Alligator mississippiensis: one gene and its partners. The protein of the gene in region 2 purifies or fractionates together with the protein of the main gene of each other region. This does not show direct contact. Links are inferred from orthologs where the notes say so. Each region holds a gene or a part of one and is shown on either strand. Other genes may lie near its edges. The genes, in order: RSBN1, LIN28A, YTHDC2 and TRIM71.

Evidence for each region.
Region 1: the proteins of LIN28A (region 2) and RSBN1 purify together in Homo sapiens (co-immunoprecipitation; 3 studies listed by BioGRID and IntAct, with this or other methods). This does not show direct contact. The link is inferred for Alligator mississippiensis from reciprocal best matches to the Homo sapiens genes LIN28A and RSBN1.
Region 3: the proteins of LIN28A (region 2) and YTHDC2 purify together in Homo sapiens (co-immunoprecipitation; 3 studies listed by BioGRID and IntAct, with this or other methods). This does not show direct contact. The link is inferred for Alligator mississippiensis from reciprocal best matches to the Homo sapiens genes LIN28A and YTHDC2.
Region 4: the proteins of LIN28A (region 2) and TRIM71 purify together in Homo sapiens (affinity purification with mass spectrometry; 3 studies listed by BioGRID and IntAct, with this or other methods). This does not show direct contact. The link is inferred for Alligator mississippiensis from reciprocal best matches to the Homo sapiens genes LIN28A and TRIM71.

The regions. Positions count from the first base shown.
Region 1 is NC_081837.1:45,408,893-45,416,287, forward strand, and holds the start of RSBN1 (lysine-specific demethylase 9), read left to right. Parts: upstream 1-4,386; 5' UTR 4,387-4,417; coding exon 4,418-4,814; intron 4,815-7,395. Other genes in the region: PTPN22 (tyrosine-protein phosphatase non-receptor type 22), read left to right, coding at 46-123, 1,953-2,017. UniProt on the Homo sapiens protein: Histone demethylase that specifically demethylates dimethylated 'Lys-20' of histone H4 (H4K20me2), thereby modulating chromosome architecture.
Region 2 is NC_081829.1:3,104,574-3,111,927, forward strand, and holds the start of LIN28A (protein lin-28 homolog A), read right to left. Parts: upstream 3,017-7,354; coding exon 2,986-3,016; intron 2,131-2,985; coding exon 1,946-2,130; intron 1-1,945. UniProt on the Homo sapiens protein: RNA-binding protein that inhibits processing of pre-let-7 miRNAs and regulates translation of mRNAs that control developmental timing, pluripotency and metabolism.
Region 3 is NC_081826.1:226,732,507-226,740,119, forward strand, and holds the start of YTHDC2 (3'-5' RNA helicase YTHDC2), read right to left. Parts: upstream 3,016-7,613; 5' UTR 2,956-3,015; coding exon 2,805-2,955; intron 2,120-2,804; coding exon 2,029-2,119; intron 1-2,028. UniProt on the Homo sapiens protein: 3'-5' RNA helicase that plays a key role in the male and female germline by promoting transition from mitotic to meiotic divisions in stem cells.
Region 4 is NC_081828.1:141,971,879-141,979,490, forward strand, and holds the start of TRIM71 (E3 ubiquitin-protein ligase TRIM71), read left to right. Parts: upstream 1-4,601; 5' UTR 4,602-5,638; coding exon 5,639-6,523; intron 6,524-7,612.

The DNA of each region.
Region 1 (7,395 bases), on a different chromosome or scaffold from region 2:
AAATGGTCACTGCCTCCTAAAGAAAGCCTTTCTGTTTGTTTCTAGGTATCTGCAGCCCATCTGCATTGGCAAAGCCACGGGAGCCTACCCAGACAAACCACTCCACCTCTTTTCTGAATTTTGGTATGTTGTTTCCCCTTCTTCCCTTTCTCTTTGGATTTTTGGAACATTGACTATAGACTTTTAAAAGGCTAAGTGCAGACGTTGTAGCTGGCTCTTGGCTAGTGCGAGGAAGGTGACGGAACTCTTCACAAAAGTGTCTGCATAGATCAGAAGCATCTGTGACTGAACACTTTTCACTGCAGCAATTGCCTACTCTTCTGTGTGACTGTTTAGCTCATGAATACACAAAAGAATTAGAGGCTTGAATTTATTTAAAGCTGCCAGTGGCCTTATAGCTTAATTATTTTGACAAAGCTGTTTGTTTGTTTGTGTGCTTGTGTAACATTTGGGAGTTTATTGATGAGCTATGTATGACCTACATATAAGGGTGGAATATTCACAGTAGAAGCTCTGTCATACGCACTGAGGCAATAGGACATATTCTGCTTGTAGGCACATCATTCACTTCCCTACATAACACCAAACCAGTCCGGATTTGTTGCCTAATGCTTATAACATAACAAACCTTGGGTAATTGCTTACTGTTTAAGTGAATAGGATCTTTCAGCCCTGCTGTTATTGTGACTTAATTGTATTTTGTTAGCCACATACTGTCTGAAACTCTATACTTTGTAAAATTTGTATAGCCCTCCATATGGAAACAGTGAAGAGGAAGCAGCTGTCAAAAAAAGGCTGCTATTAGAAGTATTGCAAATGACTGGAGCTAGTTTGTTTCAAGACTGCTTCTAGATCGGCAGCTCCGAGGGTGCTGTAAACAGTCCTCAAATACAGGGTGCTTAGTGTCGCCGTGTTTGCAGGCTGGAAAATGAGGGGGAGCTGGGCAGTCAGGGCTGCTAATGCCACAGCACTGCCACACTGCATACTTAAGCTGCATTAATCGTTTGCGAGACGTTTGAGTAAGCGTATGCTGGGGTGGGCAGCCTTGTCGCAGTCCCTAGCTATGTCGGACTGCACGGTGCTTGTCAACACATGCAAGTTGCACAAACAACAGACATGTGGCTGGTTGTGACAGGATACAGCTTGAATGTGGCAAGGGGCTGCAGAAAACAACAACCAATCAGTACTGAATGGTTACACATTTTGCACGGAAAGACTGAGTAGCTACAGCCTGACCCTGTGTAAATCATGGGAGAGAAGCTGTATGTCATTTAAATGCTGATTTTAAGGGAGTAGTTGTGTATTAATCAAGAGGCACAGAACCTTGTTGATATGTCCTTGATATTCTTGTTATAATTGTGTTTGCTGGCAGACATTCTGCTGCAGCACAACTGTATTTGATTATTTAGCGCCAGAGTTACCTATAGCTGACCTGGGGAATCTCATGGTTGCAGAGCATTAAGCCAAACAGATTTTTAAGACGGAGACAATGAAACTTTCTTGTGAAAACAGTACCCGTAATCACAGGAGCAGGGCTCAACCCCAGCCAAGGTCCCTTCATAGTATATTAATGCAAGATTTCATGCTTTAATGCTTCTTCAAAAACGTCTGAGGTTGGTCAGACACTGAGTTTGGATAAATTATTGGCCTTGTGACAGTATTTGAATGAACTTAGCATTATGGACTTTTAAACATCAAGCCTGCTACAATTTCTAGTTTTTTGAAGTGCCTTAATGGGCCCTGCACATGGATAAATGTGATCATGCTTCATAATACCAGCATTTCTGTCACTGTAGTTAAATAGTGTGATGTGTTAGGATTAATAGAGCACATAGTGTATTTAAAGCCCAAGTCTTTTTAAATACTCTGAACATATAGAATAGGAGAGCAATGTGAAAATCACAGTGTGTTTACAATACTTATGAAAATAAATATTTTGTTCTTACTCCTAGGCTTTGCAAAACGATTTTCAAAACCTAAAGGACCAAGAAATCCTCCACCATCGTGGAATATTTAAATAAACTTTGTGGACGCGGTACTGTAGATTTGCCATATCCCTCTGACACATCTCAAATGCTCTTCAAGATGGATCACCGTCAAAATATAAAAAGGAAAAATGCCTGTGTTGCGCAGTATCTGCAACCAGGGCATAATGCAAACATCTGTTTTTATCACCTAATCAGTTGTAATATGAAGAGGGATGCAGAAATGAGTAGCAGCTGCCTGGCACTTGTAGTTAATGTTTGACCTTGGCAAGACGGTGCTCTGTGGTGGCTGTTGGAGGCGTCCTGCCTGGGCTTTGTCCATTAGGGACGTGTGGCCGTTTTTTAACGTCTCCACCCACTCATAGACCGAGCGATACGGTGAATTCACCGAGGTGGCGCTCCTGTGGGCCACAAAGACAGCGACAGAACGCTGTTCTTCTTTGCACACTGACAGCTGCACAGCCTTCTTGTTTACATGCTCGCTAGCCGTACACGTGCTTAGCACGAACGCTGGCTGCATCCAACGGCCGCCATCAGTGTTCCCTGCTGCTGTCTAGTTTCCCACTTTGTTGCAGACACACAGTGTGGGTAGCTATTTTGCCTTTAGTTTCCAAAACGTTCTTGTACATCAGGCTGGAAACTAAAAACAAATATGAAACATGGTGTCTGAAAGCAAACTGAATTATTTTGGAGCCTGGGCGTTCTTATTTTTAAACGAGCAGGGTCATTTCCTCTGACTTTGCAGTTTAATTTACCGTAAGAAAATGGGTCTGATTTTCCTGTCCCAGTAGTGTCACCTGGGTGTGATACGTCTATGATGTGACTGATGGCCCTGATCCTCCAAATGCTTCAGCCTCTGCACAAATGTACTTGCGTAAATAGTTCTCTGGCAATTTGAGTTAGGCACGTGCTTATCTGTTTCCAGGACTGAGGGCTAAGGGAGAAAAAGCCTTTCAGATTTTAGAATTCAGGTATTTGGCCAAGTATGTTAACATGGTGGTGCTTTCCGTTCAAATTAATTGGGTAATTTTCTCTAAGCGTCTGTCTGAAGTCTGTTTACGATGATGACTGTTCACGTAGGAACCAAGCCTGCATGGAAACATGCTGCATAGTCTGCTGAAAAAAGTTCACGTGAATGAAAGTGTCCATATGCCTAGTTTTGGCCTTTAAAAAAGTCACAGCGTTAAGGTCTTTAACTTGCCAAAGCCTTTTGATGCAGACACTTAGAAGATAAGTTTCCTAAAATCTGAAAGCTTCTTTTCTTGCTATTCATATCCACGGAAAAATGTAGACGTTTTACAAACCGTTCAATGTATTTCGCTGTCTTCTAGAAAAACGCTGGCTTGGGAAATGCAAACTATGCAGGTGTTTTCAGGGCCTGATGCGCCGTTCGGCTCCCGGAGGAACTCGGTGATGATGAATACGGGATAGAGAGGCATCCCGCTGGTTCAAAGCTGGGGAAAGCGGGACCCCCTAAAAGTGCATGGACTGTTTTTCTTCCAAGTCAGCTGTTTTCTAGCATTGCAAAAACTATTGAAATGAATTCTCTCACACATTTACTAATTGTAGGTCTTCCTTAGTTATTGCCAAAGAACGAATATTGCTGAAAGATGCCATCCTTTTGTCCTGCGCCCCGGCCCCGATCCCAGGTGAGTGGGGGGAGGAGAGGGGTTTTGTTGGAGCCCCAGGCCGCACGCGCGGTGCCTGTGGCGCTAAAGGAACGGAGGCTCTTTGGTTTCACTCCCCTTCATGCTGGCCCTGAGCTGGGCGCAAGCCCCGAGGGGGGGCAGCGAAGGTGGCCGCACCAGATCTTTATGCTCTTTGCTCGAGGGCAGCTGGGGGCTCCCCCCCCCCGGTGTAAATCAGATCCGCCTCACGGTCATCCGACAAGGACCCGATGTCAAATCAGACCTGTAAAGAACTGACACATCTTTCCAACTTGTACTGATTCTGTGAAGTGTTTTACCCTGCCTGTGAGATGCTACGTGGAATAAATGTATTATTTATGCAGCGCTGTTGTTCTGGATTGTCATTTGTTATTCTTGCACGTTTTGTGGTTGTTCTTGCACACCTTGTTGCACATGTTGTTGTTGTTGTTGTTGTTGCGCATTACGCGATGACAGGCCGTGCGAGAGCACACGTGCTTGCTGCGCGCCCAACGCCTCCGCGCGAGCGCGCTGGGCGACCGTTACGACCGTTGGCCGGGGAGGGGTACCCACGTGACGGCCCCGGCCTGCGTGCCTGGGCGCACGCTCCTGGCGCCGGGCGCAGGGGCGGGGCGGACTCGGTTTCCCGGCGGGCCCTGCGGCGGCGCATGCGCGGCCGGCGCCGGGCTTGGGCGCGGACTACAGCCCCCAGCAAGCGGCGCGCGGCGCGTGCGCGCTGGTGCCGGACGCTCGGGCCATTTAAATGTGTGTGAGGGAGCCTGCGAAATGGCCGCGCAGGTCGCTGCAGTGCGCGCCGTGTCGCGGGCCCCGGAGGAGCCGCCCCCGCTGCCCCCGGGGGACCGGCCCGGGCGGCCTCGCGGCGGCGGGCGACGACGGCGGGGGCCCGGCGCCGGTGGCGAGCCCGGCGCCAAGCGGGCCCGCCTGAGCCAGCCGCTGCTGGCGGGGCCCGGCCCGGCGGAGCCGCTGCCCGGCCTGCCCGCGCCCGCCGCCGTCGGGCTCTTCACCTTCTCGCCCCTCAGCCTGCCGCCCGCGCCGCCGCACGACGAGCGCCACCAGCACCACCGCCCCCGACCCGACGGCCCCGAGCCCGCGGGGCAGCCGCCTCATAAGGCGCGGCGGGCCAGCGCCGGGGACGGGGCGGCCCCGCGGCCCGCCAAGCGAGGTGAGGGCCGGGGCCGGGGGAGTTGGCCGGGCCAGGCCGGGCTGGTCCCGGGAGGGCGGCTGGCGCTCCGGGCCCCCCTCCGCTTGCCGGGGCGCTGCCGCGGGCCGGGCCAGGGCCGGCTTCTGAGCCCCGCGCGCAGGGGTGGCTTGGCTGGGCTCAAAATAAAGCACGCTTCCTGCCCCAGTGCATCGGCTGGGCCCCGTGACCTGTCAGCCCCGGGAAGAACTGACCAGAAAGTGGCAACTCTGAGTCTGGCCCTCGTCTGCGAGCTGGCTGCTGTCCGTCCCGGACTAGGCAGCGTATGGGAGCCTCGCAGCCCAGGTGCTGGAGAAGAAGCTGTTAACCAGAAGAACTTGGCTCTGCCAAGCAAGGGCCTCTCCTGGTTTGTCATCTCGTGACTGACCTCGCAGCTCTGCAGCGGCTGCCAGAGGTTGTCTCAGGCCTCGGAAGTGCAGGAGCCGCGGGGCGTTCCCGACAGGGCAGTGGCGGGGGTGATAGGTCTGGCCGCGAGAGCAGCGATCGCACGCCACCAATTTAAAACGACACAACCTTAAGTACCACCAGCACATTGATACCGTACTAAGTAATTGTAATAAATCTGTTGACACGTACCACTGACGGGTTGTCTGCGTACCCATGGTGGTACCCGTACCACAGATCGGGGAACCGCTGCTCTAGAAGGACAGGCCTGCGTAGTGGAGAAGCAATATTTCTTATAGCAGGCATATGACTCTCTTATCTATAGATTTCGTAGACATTAGGGCTGGAAGGGGCAGTGCGCCATCCCCGGGTCCAGCCCCCTGCCCGTGGAGCAGGAAGCCAGCAGGGGTCGGATCACCCCAGCAAAATAAGCATCCGTTTTGACAGGCTCGGTTAAGGAAACTGTTTCCCAGACGAGTCGCTAAAACCGTGATCGTGTTCTGGCTGGCATCAGTTGATTAAGAGAAGTCTTAGAATATTTCAGTTTTTTTGGAAACTGGGAAACTACACGTTGAATTTATGAAGTTTCTGGCCCGTATCCTAAAAGATCCATTAGGGGTTATGAATAGGATTTTAAAAAGAAAGAAATCTTAGCTAAGAAAATACTTTGAGACGGCATTGAATGGACACACGAGTAGTGAGATCAGTTTTTATTATAGTACCAAAAATAAAGATTTCTTGGGGAGGCTCTTGGTTATTTTACTTTAACTTTAAAAGCTAGTGTAACAATACCATTTTGTTAGTCTGAGCTCCACGGGGTGGGTCTGAAGCAGCGGTTCCCAACTTTTTTATGCTGAGGACCGGAAGTGACCGTGGCCTGGCAAACTGCGGCCCAGCCGTGACCGGCAGACTGCAGGCAGGCATCCAAACCTTTTTTTATATTCAGTATAAAAAAGGGTTGGCTACCAGTCCACAGTATGGCAGTCCCTTCCAGTCTGCTGTTTGCCGCTCAGTGGTCACTTCTGGTCCGGCAGCTAATCCTTCGCGGCCCGGTACTGGGACATGGCCCTGGTCTAAAGAGATCAATTTGCAATGTGGAAGTACTGCTTAATCAAGAGGGATATTCTGTATAGTTGTGTGTGATTGTATATAATATGCCATGCAGGTATGGGGGGGGGGTGTAATTATACACATACATGCACACGTGTATATGGGGGTTGGACTAGATGAGCTCTGGAGGTCCTTTCCAGCCTTACTTCTCATTGACTCTATGTAGGTGTGTATGTATGTGTGTATGCACACAGTATACTTGTGTATCCTATATTAAAGGTTTATAAATGGAAGTAAGGAGAAAGATGGTCTTAGAGGTCAGGCAGAAATGTATATGTGATATATCAGAAGTCCAGCTGAGAGTATTACACCAAGCACTTTTTTGACATTTTCACAAACTGCAAGAGAAACATTAGATCGCTTCATTCTCTTGTTCTCCATCTAATTTTGACGAGGGAATAGTTGTTATTGATGCTTCATTTTAATTTGGCCTCAAACTAAGACTTGGGAATGTGTAACTTTGTTACCTCCTCCAGTGTGTTTTCTTTTTAATAGCAGGAGCCTAGGAATGTATTGGGTTTTCTTTTACGTGTGGAAAAGTTGAGAGATTCTAGTAGTAAGAAGAAAGCATTTTATAATAAATTAGGTGAGACATTTATATAAAAATCATAACAACCCTAACAGGCCTTTAGTTTTAGGTTTAGTAAAGTGATGCCTGTTCAAATGCATCATTTAGCAGATGTACTTTCTGTGCATCTATGCCTCTAAAGGATTGGGCTGACAACCTTTCTTGCTACGGCTGGGCTATTGCAGAGCCCTCGAGGTTTGACTGTGGTTATGAAACAGACCAGAGCCTTTACTTAAACACGTGGCCTGGCAAAGCTCTGAGGAGTTTCAGAAGCACTGGCGCTGTCTTTCTGGAGAACCAGGAAGACAACTGTGCATCCATTCTCGTTTAGAGCTGTAAGAGCTAGAGGCTTCCTCCCCACCTTGCGTGAAAATACTTTTGTTAGTATTTATGCCGACTGAAACCCATGTTTGCCAGGAAAAGCTTCTTTCTTGCTGAGGGCATGGAGCTTTTTGTTCTGTGTGCACACAGATGCAGCAACAG
Region 2 (7,354 bases):
AGACACCCTGGCTTGTTCTCTTTTTGTGCAGGAATGTTAGTGCCGGCAATCAGAAAACTAGACTGTCTGGGGGCCATAAATGCTGGGGAGAATGGAGGATTCCCACCCACAGACTCCATTACTCAGGGCTCACATTGAATTTCACACACCGCGCAGAGGCACAAAAGATTTGGCCATTTTCTCTAGCAGAGAACTTGGCTCCGTCCATCACTGGACACAGTGACCACTCTCGGTCATCAGGGCACCATGGTCCTGGAAAGTCCTTTTGGGCCAGAACCTGGTTCCCTGCATCCACAGACAGCCTTTTATCCAGAGAGTCCTAAACGGGTCCACTCCAGCCCCCCCATGTACCCAGTCACAAAGCCCCCCTGAGAACAAACCCAAGGACCCCCTGCAACAGGAGGCAGGGGAAGCAAGGGCATCGCCAGCAGAACGGTAAAGAAGTCTCTAGGTGTTCCCAGGTGAGCTGGGAATCCTCGGCCTCCAAATTCAGCTGATTTTATGGCCCACCAGCAGGACGGTAATTAGAACAAAAGGAGTTTCCTCTGTTTGTGCTGTGCTCAAGCGCTGCTTGCCCTCTCCCACAATAAGGGAATTCAGGTTCCCATCTTCTTTCCTTCCGGAGCTTGTATGTTCCATCAGTGTACTCCGGCCCCACCTGAAGGGACCAATTCTCTCCTGGAGCCAGTGCCTCTAATCCCATCTCTATTACATCTCATGCTTTCCACACACACTTGGTCAACTGCATGAAAACCCAGCCGCTGACCACCACAAATTTTGGGCAAGTCCTATACTGAGCCCTTCCAGCCACAGCCATCAGAGACCCCAGAAACAACTGTCCTCTGCAGCTCTCATTCCATTTGTACCGAGTGAAAACATGGGGGGATACCTCAGATCTCCCAGAGAAATTCACCTGGTCAATGCACATTAAATATCCACTGCCTGGAAACAGGGAGAGCATCATACCACAGGCATCGCCCTGGCTTTTCAATAAAGAGAACAAGCACATGTTTCTTTGATCCCATTCACACTGGGGGAATAAATCCATGTTTGCTACAAAAAACCCACACTCCATGCTTCATAGCTGCATAGCTTCATAGCTGCAGCCCTCTTGCTGGTCCATCCTGGCCAACTGACCTCATTCGACCTGTGCCCAGAGAGCCGCAGCAGCAGGTACGAGGCAAACCATCCTCGCCCCCAAGAGTGCCAGCACCCAACCTCTGGCTCTCCTCCAGAAGCAGTCAAGCAGAGCCCGGCTGGACCCTTTGCTCACTGCTAGTGGTCACTGCCCCACCACCCTGCCCAGTTCAGAAGCTGGATCCTGCAGAACGATGCAGGTTTTTAGCCCAGGTGGGCAGTGCTCACGCGTGCCCTTGCCTGCCAGGTGGTGGGTGGGTTGGTGCTTTGGGTTTTGTTTGACAGCTGGAGCCACCACCTGCTGTAAAGCCCCTGCCTCGGTGCCAACTGGGGTGGGCTTGGGTTTGACCCGTGTTAAGAGCAAGCCTGGGGCCCACAACCAGGGTCTTGGTTAAACCCCAGCTATGGATAAGGCATAACCAAGCACAGTGCCAAGGCCGGTGGAGTGGGGGGCATCCAGAGGCCTGCCAGGGTGGAGGCTGTCTTTGGAGGCAGGTGAAAGCTTTGTCCTTTGGCGGCTTCTGCTGCCAGCTCTCTGCCCCAGAGCCCTGGCTGCCTCTCCCGGCCGCCTGGGGCTTTGCCCCGCCGGCTGCAGCCCGCATCTGCCCGGCTCCGAGGGCTCCAGGTGGAGCATCACAGAGAGAGAAAGCAATCTCTCGGTAGCGGCTGAGGCAGCTCCGGCCGGGCTCCCTCCCTGCCCCCGCCCGGCTGGTCTGGGGGCCCCCAGGCCCTCCTTCCCAAGCGGCTCACCCTGCGCCGGGCTCCCCCGGCCCCCAGCCGAGCCCCGCGGGCAACCCCCGCGCCCTACCTGGTGCACGAAGACGTCCACGGGCGAGTCCAGCGCGGTGCCCTCCCTGCTGGTCATGGAGAGGAAGCCGAAGCCCATCCGCACGTTGAACCACTTGCAGATGCCGGAGCCGTGGAGCAGCTGGGGCTCATCCTCCGCCTGCGGGGAGTCTCCGGCCGGCTCCTCGCCGCCCTTGGCGCAGCCACCTGGGAACATGCGGCCCAAGCCCGCTGAGCCCGCGGCCCCGAGCCCCGCCGTCCCCTCCCCGGCCCGGGAGACCCTCGGCTGCACCCCCGTACTGTCCCAATCACCCCCCTTACTGGTCCCAGTTACCCGACCATTCTAGCCCCAATTACCCGTCCTTACTGGTCCCAGCTACCCGACCATACTGGCCCCAGTTACCCCTCCTTACCGGTCTCAGTTATCCCCTTCACTGGTCCCAATCATTCTGCCTTACTGGTCCCAGTTACCCCCCTTTACTGGTCCCAGTTACTCCCCCTTCAGAGTCCCAATCACCCCCCCCAGTCCTGGTTACCCAACTACAATGGTCCCAGTTGCCCCGTTTACTGGTCCCAATTACTCTCCCTTACTGGTCCCAGTTACCCCTCTTTCACAGCGCCGTGGGGGGCCTACTGCTCCCTCCAGGGGGGAGCACCCCGGGGAACCCCCCCAGGATCCAGCCTGGAGCCGGGGCCTGCTGGCAGAGGGGCAGAGGGAGCCGGGCCGAAGACCCCGGCCCCACTCCCGGGGATCCCGGCTCACGGGGATCCCATCGCGGGCGAGGAGGGGTGAGGGGGGTTCAGCTCTCCCCCCTCCCGTTGCAGGAAAGTTTTTGCCTTCTCTTTTTTGTGGCCTCTGGAGTTCCGCTGACCCCGGCCCAGGGACCCAGCACCGCCGCAGCCCCCGCCCGGTCCCGCTCTCCCATCCCGGACCCCCCCCGCCCCAGCTCCGCGCCCCCTCCCCCCAAAACCCCCAGACGGAGCGCACGGTGGGGCCGGGAACTCCTGCCCACCCCCCACCCCCAAAATAAACCCGCCTGTAAGAAATATTAGCGCTTTAACCTGCAAACTGCTGATTAGAAACAGACCCCATCCTGTCCCCACTGGCAGGCCCGCGTTGTGGCCGGGCGCCCTCCTCCCCTCGGCCCGGGCGGGTCACGGCAGCTCGGCCCCCGCCCCCCCCACCCCCAGCAAAAAAATAAATAAATAAATAAATAAAGCCAGGCCAAAAAGCAGCAGCAGCAGCGGCAGCAGCAGCAGCGGGAGAGGAGGGGAGAGGGGAGGTCGGCTACATCTTCACTCCAACAATGGCAGGGGGAGGGGGAGGGCCCAGGGGCTTTTCAAAGGATCCCAAATTCTAAGAGACAATGGGGAAGGCCGGAGCTCTGCCCCCCGCCTCGGCTACACCCCGGAGCTCTCCCCTCCCCGCGGGCGGGCTGGGGGCGGGAATCACCTTCTGCCATGCGGGCTGCTCTGGTCAGTTTCACCGCGCCCTGGTCAGTTTCACTACCCCCCCCCCCCGGGGCTGGACGCTGTATTGGGGGCTCCGCGACCCTCCCCCCCCTGGACACTCGGTGCTCCGGCCAGGGGAGGGGGGTTAGCGAGACCCCCCCTCCGCCTAACCAATCAGGGTTGGAAACCACCTGTCAAGCCTAAAAAAATGGATGACCCCCCCACGAAGGCACGGAGCTCGGGCACCCTCCCCCGGGCCCAGCTCCGCGCCTTAGGCCTCTCTGCTTCCCTGCCCTGCCCCGCGCCGGGACGGGGCGGGCTGTCCCGGGGGATGCAGCCCCGGAGCTCCGGGCCGGCTGTCCCGGTTTGGCGTGGCCCTCCCTGGCCGGCCCTCGCCCGCGAGCGGGTCCCGAGCCCGAGCGCCCCGACGGCGCCGAGAGCAGCCGCGGCCGCGTTTGAAAATAGCCCCTTGCGCGACGGCGCAGCGGAGCCAGGAGCAGCCGTGCCTCCCGGGCCCCCTGCGCGCACGCGGGCCCCGACCCGGCGGCACCTCGCCCGGGGAAGCCCGCGGGGGCAGCGGGCCGGCCGGGGGAGCTGGGAACGGGGCTGAGGCTGGCTCGCCCCCTCCCCTAGCCCGGCCCCGCGGGTCTGAGCCCGAGCTCCCCGGGGAGGGGCCGCGTGCCCGGGGGTCCCCCGGGGCTGGGGCGGGAGAGCTCGTGGCCCGGCCGGACAATGGCCGAACAGGCGGGCCGATCCCCCCCCCCATTTCCGGCGCTGGGCTGCAACCGGACAATGCCCGGGCACTCTTCCCCTGCGGCGCGGCGGGACTTTTAAAGGGGCCGCGCTGAGCCACCCCGGCCCTGCGGGGGGTCAGGGCCGGAGTCCCGCCCCCGTCCCCGGGAAGGTCCCGCTCCCGCCCGCCCAGAGCCCGGGAGATGCCCCAGCCCGGGCCCCCGAAGTCTGCGGCCCCTCCCGTGGGAACAGGAGCCCCCAAACCCCCCGCGCCCGGATCCGCGGACCCTCGCGGGCAGCGAGCTCAGGGCGGCCTCGAACCTGCTCCGGCCGCGGCTGGCGCTCCCGGGGGTCAGGGGGGCCCCGGCTGGGCTCTCCTCCCCCCGGGGCTCCGTTGCCATCAGGGGAAGCCCCCGGGGCACGGGGAGGGGAGGGGAGGGTGGGAGCAGCCCTGGCGGGGCAGGGGGCAGCCCACGGCGGGGAGGGCGATGCCCCTCTCCCTCCAGGCTGGGGGCGCAGGGCTGCCCCCTTCTCCCCGGGGCTAGGGAAGGGTGCATGGCGATGGGTCTTTCCCCGGCCGGGCCCGCAGCGCTGGGTCCCCCCGGCCGGGTCGCCGCTGGCCCCGGGCTCGCAGCCCCTTCCCCGGCCGGGCTCGGCCGAGTCCCGGCGCTGTCCAGGGTGCTGGCCGCGGGGCCGGCTGGCCGGCCGCTCTCCAAGGTGCTGACCGCGGCTGTGCGGGGCAGGGAGAAGCCGCCACGCCGGGGACCCGGTCTCCAGCGCCGGGTGAACCGTCCGTGCCCCGACCCGGTCCGGAGCCAGGAAAGCTGCTTAGCGGCGGGCGGGGCTGCTTCAATCCCAGGCAGTCGGCTCTGCACCAGCTGTTGGCTATCATCATCATCCTCTCTTTGAGGAATCAACCGCATCTTCCTTTAGGCTTAGCTGGTGTCTGGGGCTAGCAGCTGCCGGGGTGCCGAGCGCGTGGACTTGTCCCTGCTCTTGCTTGTGAATCTCTCTGATGCCCATCAAACACTCACCACGGGCGATTTTATTCGTGGGAAGTGATTCTTCCCCTCTAGTGGGCACTGGTGAGGCCACATCTGGAGTGTGTGGCCAGTTTTGGCCCCCACTGCAGAAGGGAAGTTGAGGTTAGATATTAGGTAAAACTCTCTGAGAGAAGGGCAGTAACACACTGGGACAGGCTCCCCAGAGAGGCGGTGCAGTCTCCAACCTTGGAGGTGTTTAAGACCTGGGTAGACAAAGCCTTGGCTGGGATGATGTAGTTGGGGCTGGTCCTGCTTTGAGCAGAGGTTGGACTAGTGCAACCTCCTGTGGCCCCTTCCAACACTCATTGTCTATAATTCTATTTTTTTCCCCGATTTCCTACTATCTTTGCTTATGGGGTTGACTATTATGGAAGGGGATGTAAATGGAAGCCAAAGGAAAGCTGGGGAGGGTCCAGTGAAGAAGGATTTGTTGCATATAGTTGTATTAATTGGCCATTGAGTTGTGTTCTCTCTGGAGGGACGGCAATAATTGGAGCTATTCATAACTGCTAATGAAGCTGTGCGATGTATGTGGAATGGGAGGCAAGAAGGCACCTTAGTTTGCAGAACACACACGGTCCATAAATAGGGGGACACCTTTCACTTCTCTAGCCCTGAAGCTGTTGCAAACATTCACACTCATCCCCCCAGAAGTAGCTACACAGATAATGGAAATGTTGCTCCGGAGAGCTGGTCCCACTGTCCCAGGCAGGACTCCAGGCTGTAGGATGACTCCAGGCCATTTCTGATGCACTAAACAAGGAAAACATCACACCAGGCAGGGGCTGTCTTATGTTGGGGGGGGGAGGGGCTAGACCTCTTCTTACTGAAGCTTCTCCAAATCCAGCTCAGGAGACACCATGCTCAGAGGGAGCACAGGGTCCTGGTCCAGAGCAGCCCTGGTACAAAGTGAACAGGGGTGGAATGGACTCCACGCTCTCTCCCCAGCAATACAAGGAACTGAGTAGGAGGATAGATCAGTGTGAGGTGCCAGTGGCCTGGGGACCTGGTATCTTGCTTCCTCACCCATCACTGCCTTGCCAAGGGAGGTGGCACATGACAATCTAAGACTCCATCTCAGCTGGGGCCATCTGTGTGGGACACAAAAGCATTAGAGTGAGAGATCAGGGACTGTACATGGGGGTTTGCCCTGGCAGCTTGGTAGGGACTTAACTCCAGAAGAGCCTGCAGTCACACCTCCACTCCTGACTCAGCCCTTACTGGCAGCTCCTGTTGCTCACTGATCAAGCCCTTCCTTAGCAGGGCTCATTCCTGGAATGCCCTTTAGTCATCTGGGGAGGGTAGCTCAGCCCAAGGCATTTCCAAGCCTCCCAGCTTCTCCTGTAAGGCAAACTAGCCATTGGCTTTGGCAGCAGCTACCAGGCCTCAGCCTCTCTCCAGGACCTGGCCCAGTTCTGCACAGTCCTCTTGGGACATGCTGTTTCCTGGAGGAGACACTGAGGACTGCTCTGTCTGTCCATTGATGGGCACCAATACACCAACTTACATAGGCGACACAGGAGCACTGACACCAGCAGAACCTCATTAGAAACCTTGGAGGGTGAAGTCCTCTTGATGTACAGCATCCGCACGGTTCCTCCCCTGCCTGGAACTCGCAACGGCAAACAAGACAGGTGCTTTACTGACTCAGAGCCTTGGAGGACCATCCAGAGGAGCCAGATGCATCTCCATATCAACTCACTCCCCAGCCTTTCTGCTGGCACTACTGACAAGGATGGAGTGCAAGTGAGAGAAGAGGATATTTGTCCTCTGGCAGCTTGAATAAACCCCACAAAAACCCACCTCAAGTAGCCCTCCCAACAGCCATTTTTGGTCACTCCTCACCTAAGCTCTGGGTGCGAGTCTCCCTCTCTCACCAGCAATCTCCCAAGGCAGCTGGTGCAGACACAAGTGACTCCTTTGCTTTCACCTCATGTGCAGTGGAACCAGTTCTGCTAGCAAGTCACCTTTAAAAACATAACAAGCTCAAGAGAGGCCAAAAGCAGTGAAACTGGTTCATTTGCTTTAATGGGCTTCAGGGTGATGCTGAGATCACCACCCACAGCACTGAATTCAGGAGTTATATAGCCCCTCACAACTGCCCTGTTGTGGGCATGAGTGTGGTCGGCCCCCTTTGGCAGATTGTACCTCGGTTTCCCTAAGGTTTGCCTGGTCACTCAGTGGCAGAGTTGGGAAGAGAGCCC
Region 3 (7,613 bases), on a different chromosome or scaffold from region 2:
CATGAAGCACAGCAAAGAAATCTAAGCAGAGAGCAAAACATTTTTATAATTCTAATTTACAGGTGCACTATAAATCAATGCAATAAATAAAGTTAGCATGCTACCAAAATATCCCTCCAGCTATGAGCACCTCTCTCAATTTATTCGTTTCTCTAAGAAGAAAGCACTCTGATTCTTAAATGTATTAACATTCCAAAGTTTCCTTTTTTTTCTCCACCGTACACACTAGATTTCTGTTACAATGTCCCCATAAACCTAGGGGTCTGAGTAGGTTTAAGAGTCTTCTATGTTTTCATGATTTAGCAGTCATAAGAAAAAAATAAATAAAACACATTGAGTCCATATGCAAGAGACTTCAAATCTTCAGCATATTCAGTCAGATAGCATATGTTGCGCTCTGGAATTGGAAATAAAAAGTTTACAATGCACTGCTAAAGCATCCACAGTCAAAAGTTACTTCAACACTAAATATTATTTTTCTTTTGCTTTAAAACTTATCTCAGGAGCCCAATAGTTCTCCCGGAGTGTTTATTTTAGTATGTTACAGCTCTAGTTGCTTTGCTTCTAGGCAGCACAATCCATTAACCAACCTACAGAAGCACATATTTGCTAGAATTGTGGATGATTATATCCACTTCATTCTCTGTGTTCAACTCAGCACTGAAGTAAAACTCAGTCATTTGTTTCTAAAGAGTTTTAGCACAGTGGTCCTCAAGCTTTTTAGACTCAAAGCACTCTTCACAAAGGCCAGACCTTAGCTTTTACTCATTTCTTAACTATGGAAAAAACAAAAGAGCAATTCTTCTGCTGCAAAGAACTTAGAAAGACCACAACAGGTCAAAATATTTTGGACATTATGGATCCCTATTTGAAATGCCTGGGTCACTTTGAATCATGTGTTAGAAATGTGTACATCTAACACAGCACGAATATTGCACAGCACCCCATAGCATCCTTAAAAGCCTGAGAATCACTGGTTTAGCACAAGGTTCCTTTTTATTTTAATCGAGGCCAACAATGAAAGTAGAATGAGGATACAAAACATTCCTGGCATGATACCCTAATATCAAGTGCTGATAAGTCACAGTAGCAACCCAATAATACCATTGTCATCAGTAGTGATATTACAACTTGTTTTGAAATACTGATTTTGCTGTTCAGTAAAAGTAGTTTGGAGTGATGAGAACAAACTATGATCAGAGTTTTGAACAAGGATGGCCCCTGTCTAGAAGCTGTGTTAGAAAGAAGAGACTATGTACAGGGGAAACATTTCTGAAACTGCTTCCTATTTCTTAAGTCAATAACATCTAGGGATTTGTGTGCCTTGCAGATACCAGTTTTTGTCTTTTTTCCCCGCTCTACTGCCTTAATATTTTTAAACCTTGAAGACTTGGCAATACTGAGATGCTTATTAGAAGTATATGCAGTTCATCATTTTATCTGAACATAAAAGGGGCCCTCTGTCCATCGAGCTCCTCTTCCCTTCTTAGGGCATCAGAGAGGGGAAAGAGAATGGGGTAAATCCATCTCCTAGATATGAATGCACCTACAACAAACTCCTTTCTGAAGGCCCTGCTCTCCAAATTTCTAGATATGGGAACTGATGTTTTCCATGATGCTGTCCCATACCAAGGTCCTGGATCCCATACAGGAGTGCGGGCGGAAGATGCTACTATTAGACCAGAATAAGCCCCACTACTACAACAAAAGAACCTTCCTTTATGTACATATATAAACCACAAGCTAGTGAGAGAACACATCTTCCAAAACCACGCGGATCTCCAATTCCTTCAACAATTAAAGAATACAAACATTTAAAAAAAGAAGAGGACTAATGCTAGGAGAGACCCACGAGGAACTTCTGTTTCTTTTTCTTATCAATGCCTCTACCCTCAGGGATTTTCCCATGGAAAAGAATGGTAATCCTTGGCTATGATATAAAACGCACCAAAATGATACAATATCATCTAACTGATAGGCAGATGTTCACATCTAATGACTAAGAGAGCTAATCAGGTAACGGCTTACCCTTTGCTTTTGGAGATGAGGCCAAGGGACTGACTCAGTCGGTGAATAAAAGCTCGTTCCGTACTAGTCAAAGAAGAGGGAAATTCCATTTCTAAGAAGAAAAAAAAAGTCAGAGACAACAACACAACAGAGCCACCCTCTTTCTTCTAACTTCAGTGACCAAAATAATACTTTTCTACATTTTATATTTAATAGCACTGGCAAGTCAAGAGAACAATGGAAAAGGAATGTCCTGTTTCAACAAACTTCTTCTCCCCATGAAATGCAACTTTAGTGTAAGGCCAAATTATGTTATTAGTTTTACAGACACAACTACTTAAGGCAATCGTTTATCATATTTTTACAGCTTATTGGCTTTGCAAAGCTGTAACTGAGGGAAGTTTGGTCTGCACCATCTTTGTCACAAGTGCTGGGGCCGTATCACCTTCTCATGGAGGCCCAGCAAACCCCTCAGTTTCTCTGCTTCCCGGGGTGGAACCAATCAGGACTTGGGGGGGAGGCTTGAATACAGGTGGGGGCCTTGAATACAGGGCTGCACGTGGGAAGGAGCCCCCATGGGCCGGATCCAGCCTGCCAACTTGCTTGACAACCACTAACACTCTACAGGGATATGTGCTGCTGCCTCATTGGCCCACCCCTCTAGACTGCGGCTCCAGTCTACAGGTACACACAGGCCTCGCCTTATGTATTAATGAATATATATGAAAGTGAATAAATATGGGGGGGGTGGGCAGCGCCTGAGGGGGAGGGGGTGGGGCCAGGTCCCAGGCCAGCACCTCGCTGGTCGCCGTATCGGAACCGCTCCAGGGCCAAGTTCACGGCGATCTTCACCTCCTCGTCCACACGGATGTCCCGCAGCCCCTTGGCCCGGCCGCGGCCACCACCGCCCGGCGCAGGCCGCGGGGACTCGCTGCTGGGCCGCGACATCCTACCGCGGGGCTGCAACGGGGCCGAAAAGTGAAAGCAGCCGGGAGCGGAGGCAGGGGCGGGGCCACGCGGCAGCGCTCTGACGTCAGCACGTGTTCGGGGCAGGCGGCTGCGGCGCCGTCGCCAGGCAGCGGGCGGGGCGGAGTAGGAGCAGCTGCCGCGGGGGGTGCTGGGATGCGGGGAGTTGGAGGCGCAAGGCGCCGCTCGCAGCTGCTGAGCTTGTGGCTCTGAGTCACGTGACCCTTGGGGCCTTGGGGGACCGCTGCCCTTGTAAGGCCGAGGCAGGAGCAGGCTTCGCCTCAGCTCTGCGCTAGGTTGCCCTCAGCCTTGACACAGTCCCAATGCCCTCACCGGCCCCGCGTAAAGCGGGGGGCCCCTGGACAGCCAGCGTTCTGCTTCTGTGGCACGTCAGTATGTGCTCAAGAGAGCCTAGGCAGAGGGCTGCAGCCTGCTAGAGGAAGGTAAAGTCCCCACAGTCGTACCAGTCTGGCCGCGGGGTCAAATTCCTTCCTGCCCCCAACTATGGCAGTTGGTCAGACCCTGGGCAGGGGTGCAAGACCCTCTAGCCACAAACCTCTGACTCGCATCCAAGCAGGAACATTGGCACAGCCCAGTCAAAATCTCTGGTCCTGGCTGCAGCCAAAACTCCCATTGCCTCTGAGCGAGGTTTAAAAATCACTTGACAGTGTGGCAGAAAGAGGGGGTGGGGGAGCCAGCAAAGCCCAGAAGCATGGGGAATGCCCGTAGTAGCACACTGGTTCAAAACGAAAAGCTGGCCTTTTCCAACTTGTTCCTTGAGCCAAAAAGGTTTGAGAACTGCTGCTGTACAGGAAAAACACTACAAGTAATACTTGGAAAATATAATAATGAACAGCATTTTGCATGGGTATGGGTTGTAGCTCTTTTGGCATAAGGACATAGGCAGACAAGGTTCTTTGGGTAAATCTGATATCTTTTATTAGACCAACTCAAATAGTTGGAAAACATTTTCTTTGCAAGCTTTCGGGTATAAATACCCTTTGTCAGGCATATTGCATCAAACTGGAAGGCAATCTCTATTTATTTTACAAGAAAATGTTTCTGTTGCATACATTTGATGTACATAGACTTTCAAAGGTATGGGAGCAACTACTCCCCATGATTAGTGTCCTCCTGCCATGGTCTCAGATTCTGTACAGGAGTGCAGGCAGGTCAAAATTAGATCAGAATGGTGTCACAACCCAGTGAATCAGTGCCCATGCCACTAGCAAGAGATACCATTCAAGTAGTCAACTAAGGGTTAAAAAAAAAAATCCTTGCTAGAAACTCCTGAAACAAAATCCTGGCGGAGAGCTGTATATAATTTACGCCCACGTCACAAACAAGAAACGAAACTTAAGACTGGTCAGGGTGAAAGGGGATAGCCCTGCCATAAATCCCTGCAATTGGTCAAGAAACAAGCGTAAGCCCCTCATCATAACCTCATACATAACAGGCAGAAAACCTAACCCACTACCTTGTAACCTGATAGCAACCTGAGAGCACAAAGAACTGCTGCTTGCCAGAAAATTAAAGATTCCACATAACGGTTCATCATTGGGTATCTCCGTCAGACACCTCTGTCTATAAATAGTTTAGCAACTTCCGCCCAGGTGGAGAACCCCGGAGAAACCTCTGAGGAGAGACCTGAGTCCATCACCAGAGTAGATTGACAGTCTGATCAGCTGTCAATCTCTCCCCGTCATCGTTAATTTTGACGTAGTAAAGCCCTGCAGGCTCAATAGTCCGTTCTCGGTGCGCTTCGTTCGTCATTGCTTGATATACGTTTGACTGTAATCGATGCAACTGTAACAGGAACAAAGGCTCAGCCTGCGTCGCATGTCACTATCTGGGCGACGTAAGTAAACAATCTCCTGTAACCAACACGCGTCTGTGCCTGGTTAATTTCACCCCATCCATCACTACCCGCCTGTCAGGTGAAAGTTTTACTGCTCCGGTGGGGGGGGTCAGAAAGCAGCTGCCGGCGCTGCTCTGATTCCCAACAAATGGGTCCTGCAACTACATACGTACGTATGAAAACTACAAGCAAATGAGAGAATGCAGCTCTCAAAACCACACCAACAGCACTATGAAACAGAGGCATTGAGCTGATCTACGTAACAACACCAGAGTTAGGGAGAGAGCGGCTCCACAGTCCAGAGACCTCACATGGATGAGAGGAATGATCATGAAACCCTACAAGACCATGACAACCCAAAGAGTGCTCAAGAATGGGGAGGAAATTGAAGCATGGAAATACATACCGGTATTTTATTGTTATATACAGCTAAGAGGACCCATTTCTGAGAGAGGTTATGCCTAGGAAGTGTGTTTAAAGGATCAAGGAAAGAGACAGTGCTGGAATATACTCAGAACTAGAGAATTTAAAGAACACACGGGTGCATGAGACCCAGACACAAATACCTAGCAAATACCTGGCCGGGATATGTGTACCGGGGCTCTTACAGATTGGCACAGCTGGGTTCTGGGAAATGATCATAAAATGGCAGGGGTGTTCCAAGTTTGCGTTGTCTCAAAGGTTCTATGTAATATTTTCTCAGTTTCCTGTATTGTAATACTATTTTCCAAATACCTTACCATACAAACTCTACCTAAGTCGGGGCAGGCAATTATTTTGGGTGCAGGGCCACTTACCGAGTTTTGGCAACTGTTGGGGGCCGCAAGGGTAGCCCTGCCCCTTCACAGGTGCCCTGCCCCCTGGTCACTATCTTGGGGCCAGAAATCCCGCCTTCTAACCCCTGACCTTTGCCACGTGAAGTCCCTCACCTTGCCCCCAAGAAGTACTCCTTTCAGCAAGGGGGGTTGCCATCTCGGAACCATAAAAATTCCAAATTATATTCTAAAAATCAAATATCTACTACAGCATTCATTAATTTTATTTCAAAAAAATATTTTGCCCTGATTTACATGTGTTTGTGTAGCATACATAAGAGGTGATTGTATAATAGCTTAAAATTAAGTTTTACTTTTGTATATTGGGGGTGTGGGGAGGTATAGGCTTGTGGGTTAGTGGGTATAGGTTTGTGGTGGGCTGTGGGTATGTAGGTATGTGAGGTGTGGGGGTGTGTGGGGGGTTTGTGAGGGGATGGATAGGTATGGGAGTGTGAGTATGTGGGGTAAGGGTGCATATGGGGTGTGTGGTGTGGGTGGGTATGGGGTTTGTGGGGGAGGGTGGCTGGGTAGGGTTGTAGCATGTGTGGAGGGGGAGGGTTTGGCCAGAGCCCTCCCACAGCAAGTGGAGCCCCAGCCAGTGCTTCTCCAAGCCCCGGCTCCGCGCTCCTGCCACTCCTGACCTCAGGGCACTGGTGTGGGACCTGTGTTTCCACTCACCGCCACTTCCCCCCATCTGCCACCGCTGTCTGGGGGCAGGTGGCAGGGCAGCGGCAGCACGCAGGCATGTGGGAGCACAGTGACAGCTGGGCGGGAGTGCAGCAGGCAGAGTGGGGTGCAGGCTGGCAGCTGGCCTGGCTCCCACATCTTCCTGCTGGTGCAGCCCAGCCCAGCTCCATGCAGCCCCTGCTAGCCTAGGCCCTGTGCTCCTGATGCTCTGCTCTGGGCCCTCACCGGTGCTGGCCCCAGTGCACCAGCATGGGCCCTGCACTACCACCTAGCTGTTGCTGCATTCCCATGTGCCTGCTCACTGCCACTCCCCAGCCCCTATCACTTTCCCACTTTTCTGCCCACTGCCATCATTCCTCTCTACCCTCCTGTCCCCCGCCCTGGCACCACGTAGTTCCTGGCTGCAGCACTGGAACCGCAAGAGCCGGCCCGGCCTGGCCCTGAGGACTGGGATGATCGTCCACAGTCTTCCCTGCTGCCTCCTCCCCCTTCTTATCTGAATTTCCCTCTTTGGTGGAGGGAGGCAGGAATAGACCCAGGGTCCCAGGCCAAAAGCCTCTGCTACCTCTTCAGCCTAGGACCAACCACATCCCTCCAGACTCTACAATAACTGACCAAAGCATCAAAGTTTAGAATGTCTCTTAATCTAATTTGTTAAAAGAAAGAAACAAACAAAAAATCAGAGCCTTCCCTCCTTTCCCTCTCTCTGGGGCTGGAGAGACAAGCTGGAAACGTTCCCCTGCTTGTCTCCAGCCTCCTGCTCATCTCCAACCTCCTGCTTGTTCCCGTGCTGTCCCCTCATTTTCCCTGCTGTCTGGAAATGAGCAGGGGAACGAGGAGGAGGCTGGAGATGAGCAACGGAACATCAGCTTGTCTCCAGGGGCTCGTCTCCACAGGGGGTGGGGGGGACACATGGGGAGTTGGGAACAAACGGGGCAGGGGGAACGAACAAGGAGTTGGGGGAATGTATGGGGGCGCGGGGGAATGAACGGGGAGTTGGGTGAACAAACAGGGCGGGGGAAATGAACAAGGAGTTGAGGGAATGAACAGGGCAGAGGGAATGAATGCGGGGGCAAGAGGAACTCACAGGGGGGCTGGGGCCAGGCAGGGCCTCCACATGGTTCCCTTCCCCCCTTCTCCAGCCCCCCCAACCTCCTACTTACCTGCCATGAAGCCAGGTCCAGGTCCCTGCAGCCTGCACCACTGGTTGCCCCACACAGGCAGGCAGAGTGATTCAGCACCTGAGCAAGGGCCAGGGCTGGCTACCAGAGCAGCTCTGT
Region 4 (7,612 bases), on a different chromosome or scaffold from region 2:
AATGCCTTACACATTTTTGGGGGAACAGAATTTCCTTCTAAAGAACCGGGGTAGGTGAGCTGATCCCTCACACCAATTGCTCCTTAGAGACTGCTAGAGATGTCAGCAGCCATCTGCAGGAAGGCCCTATAATATCCATGCACTGGTCCCTTTGCATCCTGTCAAGCATGATTTATGCAGAAACCACATTGATACAAGCTCTCTGAAGGCCACTGATGAGGGTCCTAAAGGGTGCAAAGGGTGAAAACAGGCAAATGAATTTACACAAAGATCATTGTCTTGATGGGGGAGAATGTGCTGTGTAGACAGTTCCTGGCCATGTCGTGGAATTATATCGTATGGGCAGCTCTTCCACTTTCTTTGCTTTCTCTCAGGATAGGAGCTCAGAAATAAATGTAAGAAGTTGTGTTATGAATGTACTTGCTAATTAATCCATTGACAAGTGTCTGACTAAGCAAGAGTCAGTGTGCAGGAGTGGGCTTTCTTAGCTGGCACGGTAAACTTGGTATCTCGGACATCTTTTCAGAATGTCCTAGATTGAGCAGAGCTCAAAATCAGAGCCAGAAAGAAGAACTCAAACCCAAGCTCTCCAGGCTGAACTGAGATAGTGCAGCAGAGTGTTTAGACTGTTTGCAAGCCAAGAGGAGATGACACATTTCTCATGGCCTTGTGTATTGTACAGCTTTGATCATGCTGTTCTGGATCACAAAAATATTATTCTCATCTTGAACTTATTTTGCAATATGTCATGAAAAAAAGATTATGCCAACTTCAGCCTCTTGCTAATATGTGTGGCAAATAAGGAGTTATTTTGGATATAATCCAGTTGCTAGAGCAATGAAGGCAACAATAAACACTGTTTGTCTGTTCCCCATTTGCAATATTATGTGGATAATGAGTCAGGGGCAGCAACCTGACTTAGGGGCATTCTTAAGGATGTCACAACAGGGAGGACTGAGGGTACTGTGTTTCATAATAAACCTATTCAACAAGAAGAGGCTCTGGTTTTGTTTGCATCTTTGCAAGAACCTAGAAAGTACCATGCTAGAACAGTGAACTACAATCGCAGCTTTTATGCCTGCAAACTTATCTTCTGCAGGGTAAACGTTTCTGGGTCTCCAGAGAAAAAGCAGAAAAAAAATCAGATCTATATGCTGACGGCTGCCAGTGCACATCTAAAGACCGAATGAATCAGACGGCAACCACCATTCACGGGGTTTTAATACTTCAACACCGCACACTGTCTTACCACTGACGAAGAACTGGCCAAGTATGACTGTAAAAACTGACAGTCTGCTGGACGTCTCTACCTAAGGTTTGAGGACTAAAAGCTTTCTGTCAGTGTTCGTCTATAAAATTATAAGCAAATACCACAACATCTGCAACAACCAATCTTGAGTTTTTACTCAGTTTTGATTAAGCTTTTAATCACTGGGTCCAGGTACACTGCTTTTGCTTTTCTAATTTTGCTGGGACACTGCAGTGTCAAAACATAGCTTTTCCATAACACCATTAATAAAGATAAGCCCCTGCAACATGTATTGAGAAAAGCATGCTCCATTAATTTGAGGCAGATGCTAACAAATGGCTTAAGTGCAGTTGCTTTCCAGGCCTAAGGTACAATTCTCCGCTGCCTTGAAGGAGGAACAAGGGGTATGGACACATGTATGTTTAGAGCCATTTCAAAAGGGGAATGTTGCAAAAGGGCAGCAGCTGTCACGTTCCAATTGTTACATGCAGAGAAGCTGTGGAGAAAAAAAAACAAAACGCTTCAACTTTTCACACTGGATGAAGCGGTGTTAAATTTGGAGCAGTTTTGCTATCTTTGCATAGTTCCTGGCTTGTTCACATGTAACAATTACAGCATAACAGCTGCTGCCTTTTTTGAAATGTTCCCCTTTTGCAATGGCTCCAAATGTTTGTGAGACAATACCCAAGGTGTAAGTGTCACACTGAGCCATGGCAGCCTGTGCTAATAGACTATTATTGCTGTTGTCCAATACAGATTTTCAATGAAAGGAATACTGAACCCAGATCCTTAAAGGATTTGGCCACCTTATGATTCTCCTAAATACCTTTAAAGAACTGGGCCATTCTCCTTGATGTTAGGTTATTATAAGGTGTAATTGGATTAAAAATAAATTATTGCACAGCCCCAGCTCTGACTCGTGGTCTGAGACTAGCAGTAGGAATGGCATTTTAATTTATACTTCAGTGAGGAAAAAAAGACCCATAAAAGAAAATAATAAAAACATTTTGTATCAAACTCCAAAATGCAGAAAACACCTGCAGATAATAACGGAGGCAATTGTCATTTATTTGAGAAAAAGCAATCGTGGTTTGACAATTGGGATATACTTTGTTGTAATTAAAAAGGAAGATATGAAATATTAGTTACCCAGGGAAAATTAACGGCCCTCTCACATTGAAGGTTCCCATGTTGTACCTACTATTATGCAGTTAGACGGATCCATGGTCACAAGATCAGACAATGAACAGTAGAGGTTTTACTACCTTTAGGAGGCAGAATAGTTTTTAGTATAACAAAAGTATGCTGATTTAAAAATGTGGGGCTAAGCATACCCAGTAGAAAAATCCATTATGCTATTAACCATGCAGTTAAAGATAGATGAAGTACATAGGGAAGCTCAAGTACTTAACAGTGGAGCATGGACCTCACCACTTTTAAAAGTAAATGCAAAGCAAATTGATCCAGTTTAGTTTTACTTGTTTTTTTTTCTTAAGTAAGATACAAAAGCCACCCTTCATCAACATAAGAAGCTTTCTCCAACATTCAAAGGGAGGAATGAGAGATTCTTAGTTTAGAAAATAGAAGTAGGTGCTCAGGTATGAAGGTGATGTGTGTAGTATAGAGTTTCTGTGGACATACAGCTCTTTGCTTACAGCCATTTCTGCTGCTGAAGATACAGGATCTGGCTATAAACTGTGAGGTTTAGCAGCTTTGGAGCAAGATGCACTGAATCTTTCAAGAGTCTAGGAGCCTTACACACTACTTGTGTAGCACCAGGCACCCTGTTGGTATGCAAGGGAAGAATTCCTTTGTCCATGTTTGTTAGTCGAGCAAACCAAACACTTGCACCGTGGAAGGTGGGAATGTGAGCTGTGCATAGAGACAGTGTTGGGGGAGACTCTTATCTGAGCAACCCACAGAGCACAAGCCAGTATTAGCTATTCAGTGAACCAGTGCACTTTGTATCCTTCCATTTTTTCCTTGGGGCAAAACAAACTAAACACCAGGATAGGAAAATCAAATGTAAAACAGAATTTTTTTTGCAACGTTAACTTAGGTACCTTAGACAGTGGTTTACGTAGCATAAGCTATGCAACGTATGGAGACATGCTAAATACACCATACAGATATGTAAGTCCATACCCTGAGGACATCGTATGCTCTAGGAACACGATCCTGTAAACATTCATGGCTTTGCCTGCTTTAAAGCAGGGGAGCAGCCCATGCCTGCAGCTTGGTCTGCATGTGTGGAGCCTGATGCTCTTGGGGAGTCCCTCTCTATTCAAGGAAACTGCAGGCAAAAGGGCTCTTCACTTGCAGGTCATGTTGCAGCAGCAAATAAAGTCTCATGTTCTGCAAAAATGTAAATGTGTGCTTAATGCTAAACACGCAACCTAAGCATGGGCATGCGGATTGTGTGTAGGACCAAGGCCTGAATAGGCAGGAGAAACTCTCTGTGGTTGTTAGGTTTTTTTAGCCTGCTTTTCTTTTTACCATTTTGCCCAATTATGTTGCTATCTTCTACTTTCTTGACATTTATTTCACACCCCTTTGTTTGGCATTTGTGTTAGAGATGAAAATGTTAAGGAGATGCTATGCTGCATCTTTCCTGCTTTGGGGTTTGATTTTTTTTTTTGGTTTCTCCTATCCTATTTTCACGATTTGTTGACCTCTTCCCTATTTCCCCTTGTCCTTTCCAATTGCAAACCTTCAAGTATCATTCCTTATTTAACTGATAAGCCAGAGGACAGTCAACGTGGTTGTGTTAACAAACCTTAACTTTTGGAACAGCCTGGATTCCCTGTGTTGGATTAAAACTAAATATTTGGTGGTTAAAAAGATCAAAAAGGGGGTTGATTTTTGGCAACCTGAACACTGCCTTTCCACCACTTATTTACCACTTATTCTCTGCTTCATGAGCTCTTAAAGGAAGTTTCTGTTCCCTGTCCAGCAATTGCCCTTAGAATCTTTTTATTTTTTCTGGTTTAAATCCAAACAGGGACAACATTTTAATGCAAACTCTACAGCCGTCAACTTAAAAAAAACCGAATAATTCACCAGGACGTTACAAAAGTGTCCTATTGAGAGCTGTCATGTGTCCAACCCTCTCTTTAATTCAAGGGAAGTTCTTTTTTGAAAAAGAAAAAAGAAGTGTGACAGAGAGTTGTTAAAAACGGGGGAAAGGGACAAATTTTTTATAACAAGCTACTGGAGGGGATCCAATTAGACTGCATTAAAAGATGGGGAGGGAAAGCCTAAAATGAAGCAGGCTCCGCTTCTGTTCAACGGATCTGGAGGTGAGGGGGGACAAGTGAGGCTCAAGGGCTGGGAAACAAAGGGGTGGCAACGTGAAAGATAAGCAGCCCTCCCACAGCCCGGGGAGGCGGAATACTAGAAGATTCAGGAACCTCCGGCTCTCGAGGAGGCAGCGAGCGAGGAGCAAGAGGGTTAATGTTTCCTGTTTGCCTTCAGCCCCCCACCCCCGCCCCTCAGCCTCCCCCCGGCGCCCAGGCGGAAGTGAGCGCGCTACTTCGGAGATTAAAAGGGTCCCGAACTCCGATCACTTTCAAGAGCAGGCGGCCGGAGAGCGCGGAGAGGCAAGGCCGAGCCGGAGCCGGAGCCGGGGCAGGAGCGCAGCCCAGCCCAGCCCAGCTGGAGGAGCCCCCGGCCGGGAGGGGCCACCGGCAGCTCCCCCGCGCGATGGCTCCGCTGCAGTCCCGCGCCGCGCAGCGCAGGCTCCCGCCGCCTCAGTGAGTCACTGCCGCTAATTGCAACCCGGTGCCGGCCACTTGCTGGGGGGCGGGGGGGGAGCAGCGAGGTGAAGAAGCGGCTCTTATTTTTGGACCGTGCTCGCCGCCGCGTTTTTTTTCTTTTTTCTTCTCGATTATTATCGTTTCTCGCCCCCTCCGCAGCCGCGCGCCGGCACCCGGCGAGATGACAAAGGAAATGTGATCCCGGGGGCTCGGGCCGGGCAGGAGCAGCAGGAGGAGGAGGAGGAGGGGGCGCGGGACCGGCGGCAGCGCTCATCTGTGCGAGCGGACATAATACACCTCCATGAATAATTCAGGCCGGCCGGCGGGGACCTGCCGCCGCTCCGCCGCCCGGCCCAGCCGCCCGACCGCCGCCTCCCGCCGGCGCGGCTAGGAGCCAAGTGGAGCAGCCGCGTGCGGAGGACCGCCCGGAGGCGCCCCTGGCCCGGCTCGGCCCCCACAGCCGGGTCCCTGCGTGCTTCAGGCGCCCACTGCCTCCACCATGCGGTGGCGGAGCCGGCGTCGGAGGGGGGCGGCGGGAGCCGGCCCGGCCCCGCTGCGCTGAGCCCGCCCATGCGAGGCGCCGGGGCCCGCAGGTAGCGGCAGTCCAGTCCCGTCCCGTCGCGTCCCGCCCCCCATGGCTTCCTTCGGCGAGGCGGACTTCCCGGTGTGCCCGCTGTGCAAGGAGGCGTGCGGCTCGGCCTCGTCCAGCTCCTCCTCCTCCTCCTCCTCTTCCCACGGCGGCGGCGGCGGCGGCTCCTCCTCCTCCTCCTCCTCGTCGGGCGGGGGCGGGGGCGCCCCGTCGCGGCGGCTGCACGTGCTGCCCTGCCTGCACGCCTTCTGCCGCCAGTGCCTGGAGGCGCAGCGGGGCGCGGGCGGCGGGGAGGCGCTGAAGCTACGCTGCCCCGTCTGCGACCAGAAGGTGGTGATCTCGGAGCCGTCGGGCATGGACGCGCTGCCCTCCTCCAACTTCCTCCTCAGCAACCTGCTGGACGTGGTGGTGGTGGCGGCGGCCGCCGAGGAGCACAAGAACGGGCGGGCCGGCGCCGTGGGGCCGGGGCAGGGCCCGGGCGGCAACAACCGGCACCACCGCCCGCCGCACCGCGCCGCGCCCCCGCCCGCCGCCTCGGCGGCAGCCCCGCCACCCTCGTCCTCGTCTTCCTCGTCCTCGTCGTCCAGCGCGGGCGGCGGCGGGGGGGGCGCGCCGTCGGGGCCGCTGCTGCTGCGCCGGCCGCACAGCCGCCAGGGGGAGCCGCGCTGCAGCTCGTGCGACGAGGGTAACGCGGCCAGCGCCCGCTGCCTGGACTGCCAGGAGCACCTGTGCGACAACTGCGTGCGCGCCCACCAGCGCGTCCGCCTCACCAAGGACCACTTCATCGAGCGCTTCGCGGCCCCCGCGCCTGGGCCTGGGCCCGCCGGCGCCGCCCAGCTCGGCCTCAGCCCGCCCTACCCCGCCGCGCCCTACAGCATCCTCTCCGTCTTCCCCGAGCGCGCCAGCTACTGCCAGCACCACGACGACGAGGTGAGCTCTTGCCCCCTCCCTCCCTGCTGGCCTGTGCCCCCCTCCCCCCAGGCCTAGGACCGAAAAGAGCCAGGTAAGGCAGCATGGGGGGGACGGGACTTAGGTTTCAAGGCTTCTGGCTCCCGTGCCATGAGCTGTGGTTCCCTCCCCGTTTAACCTCCTGCTCTCAAAAGCCTGAGCTGTTTCCCTCCCCAAAACCTCCAGTTTGACTTCACTCCCCGGGATGCTCCTGCTTCCAAATGCCCCAGCCGGAAGGGGCTTGCTGGGTGGTGCCGCTGGTCTTCTCTTTTAGTCACAGATGGAGATGTTTTAGTCCCCACCTGAGCACTCCCCTTCTACCCCTCCCCCCCATGTCACTGGCTCTGAACAATTAGATCAGATCAGCTGCTGGCTTAAAAATGTGGCCTTGTGACCACATAAGGCCTACAACTGGCTTCTGCATCTGGGCAGGTCTTTGCTTCATTCAAAGCTTTGGCCGTTTCCTTGCTTGCTTCCCAAGAAGGGACCTCCCGGTGTATTGTTTGTTTGTTTGTTTGTTTGTTTGTTTGTTGTGTGGTAGGAAAGCATGTGAGGACAGGGGTACCACCACAGATGTGACCTGTGGTCATTCTTGCAGAGCTCTTGAACTGCATGCAAAATTATTATTACTATTCCTACATAATGTGCTTTGAAGTTTTGCACTTGGGTCACATTAGCAATTTAAGCCCCATCCCTGCCCCCACCAACTTGAAAACCTCTTTGTCAAAACCTCTATTGTAAGCTGAGTTGAGGGGATATGGGAGCACTTCACATGTGCACTCCCCCTTCTGCCCCAGGGTAGAAACCAAGTCTTAGAAGTCTATTTAAACTGCCCCTTTCTTGGAGGGGAGAAGGGGTTGTTTTGTCTTGGTTTGGTTTGTTTCTCCCTTTCAAATGCAAGTAATATTCAGGCTGTCACCACTTAATACAGTAAAATTGATTGCAAGAAATCTTTCCCTGAGCTTGAAGGAACTCATAAAAAATACAAAGGTGGCATCTACAAAGTGTTGGTGTTGCATTAGTGATAGGAATAATGCAATTAAAGAAACAGGAAACTAGCAAGTAGGTGTC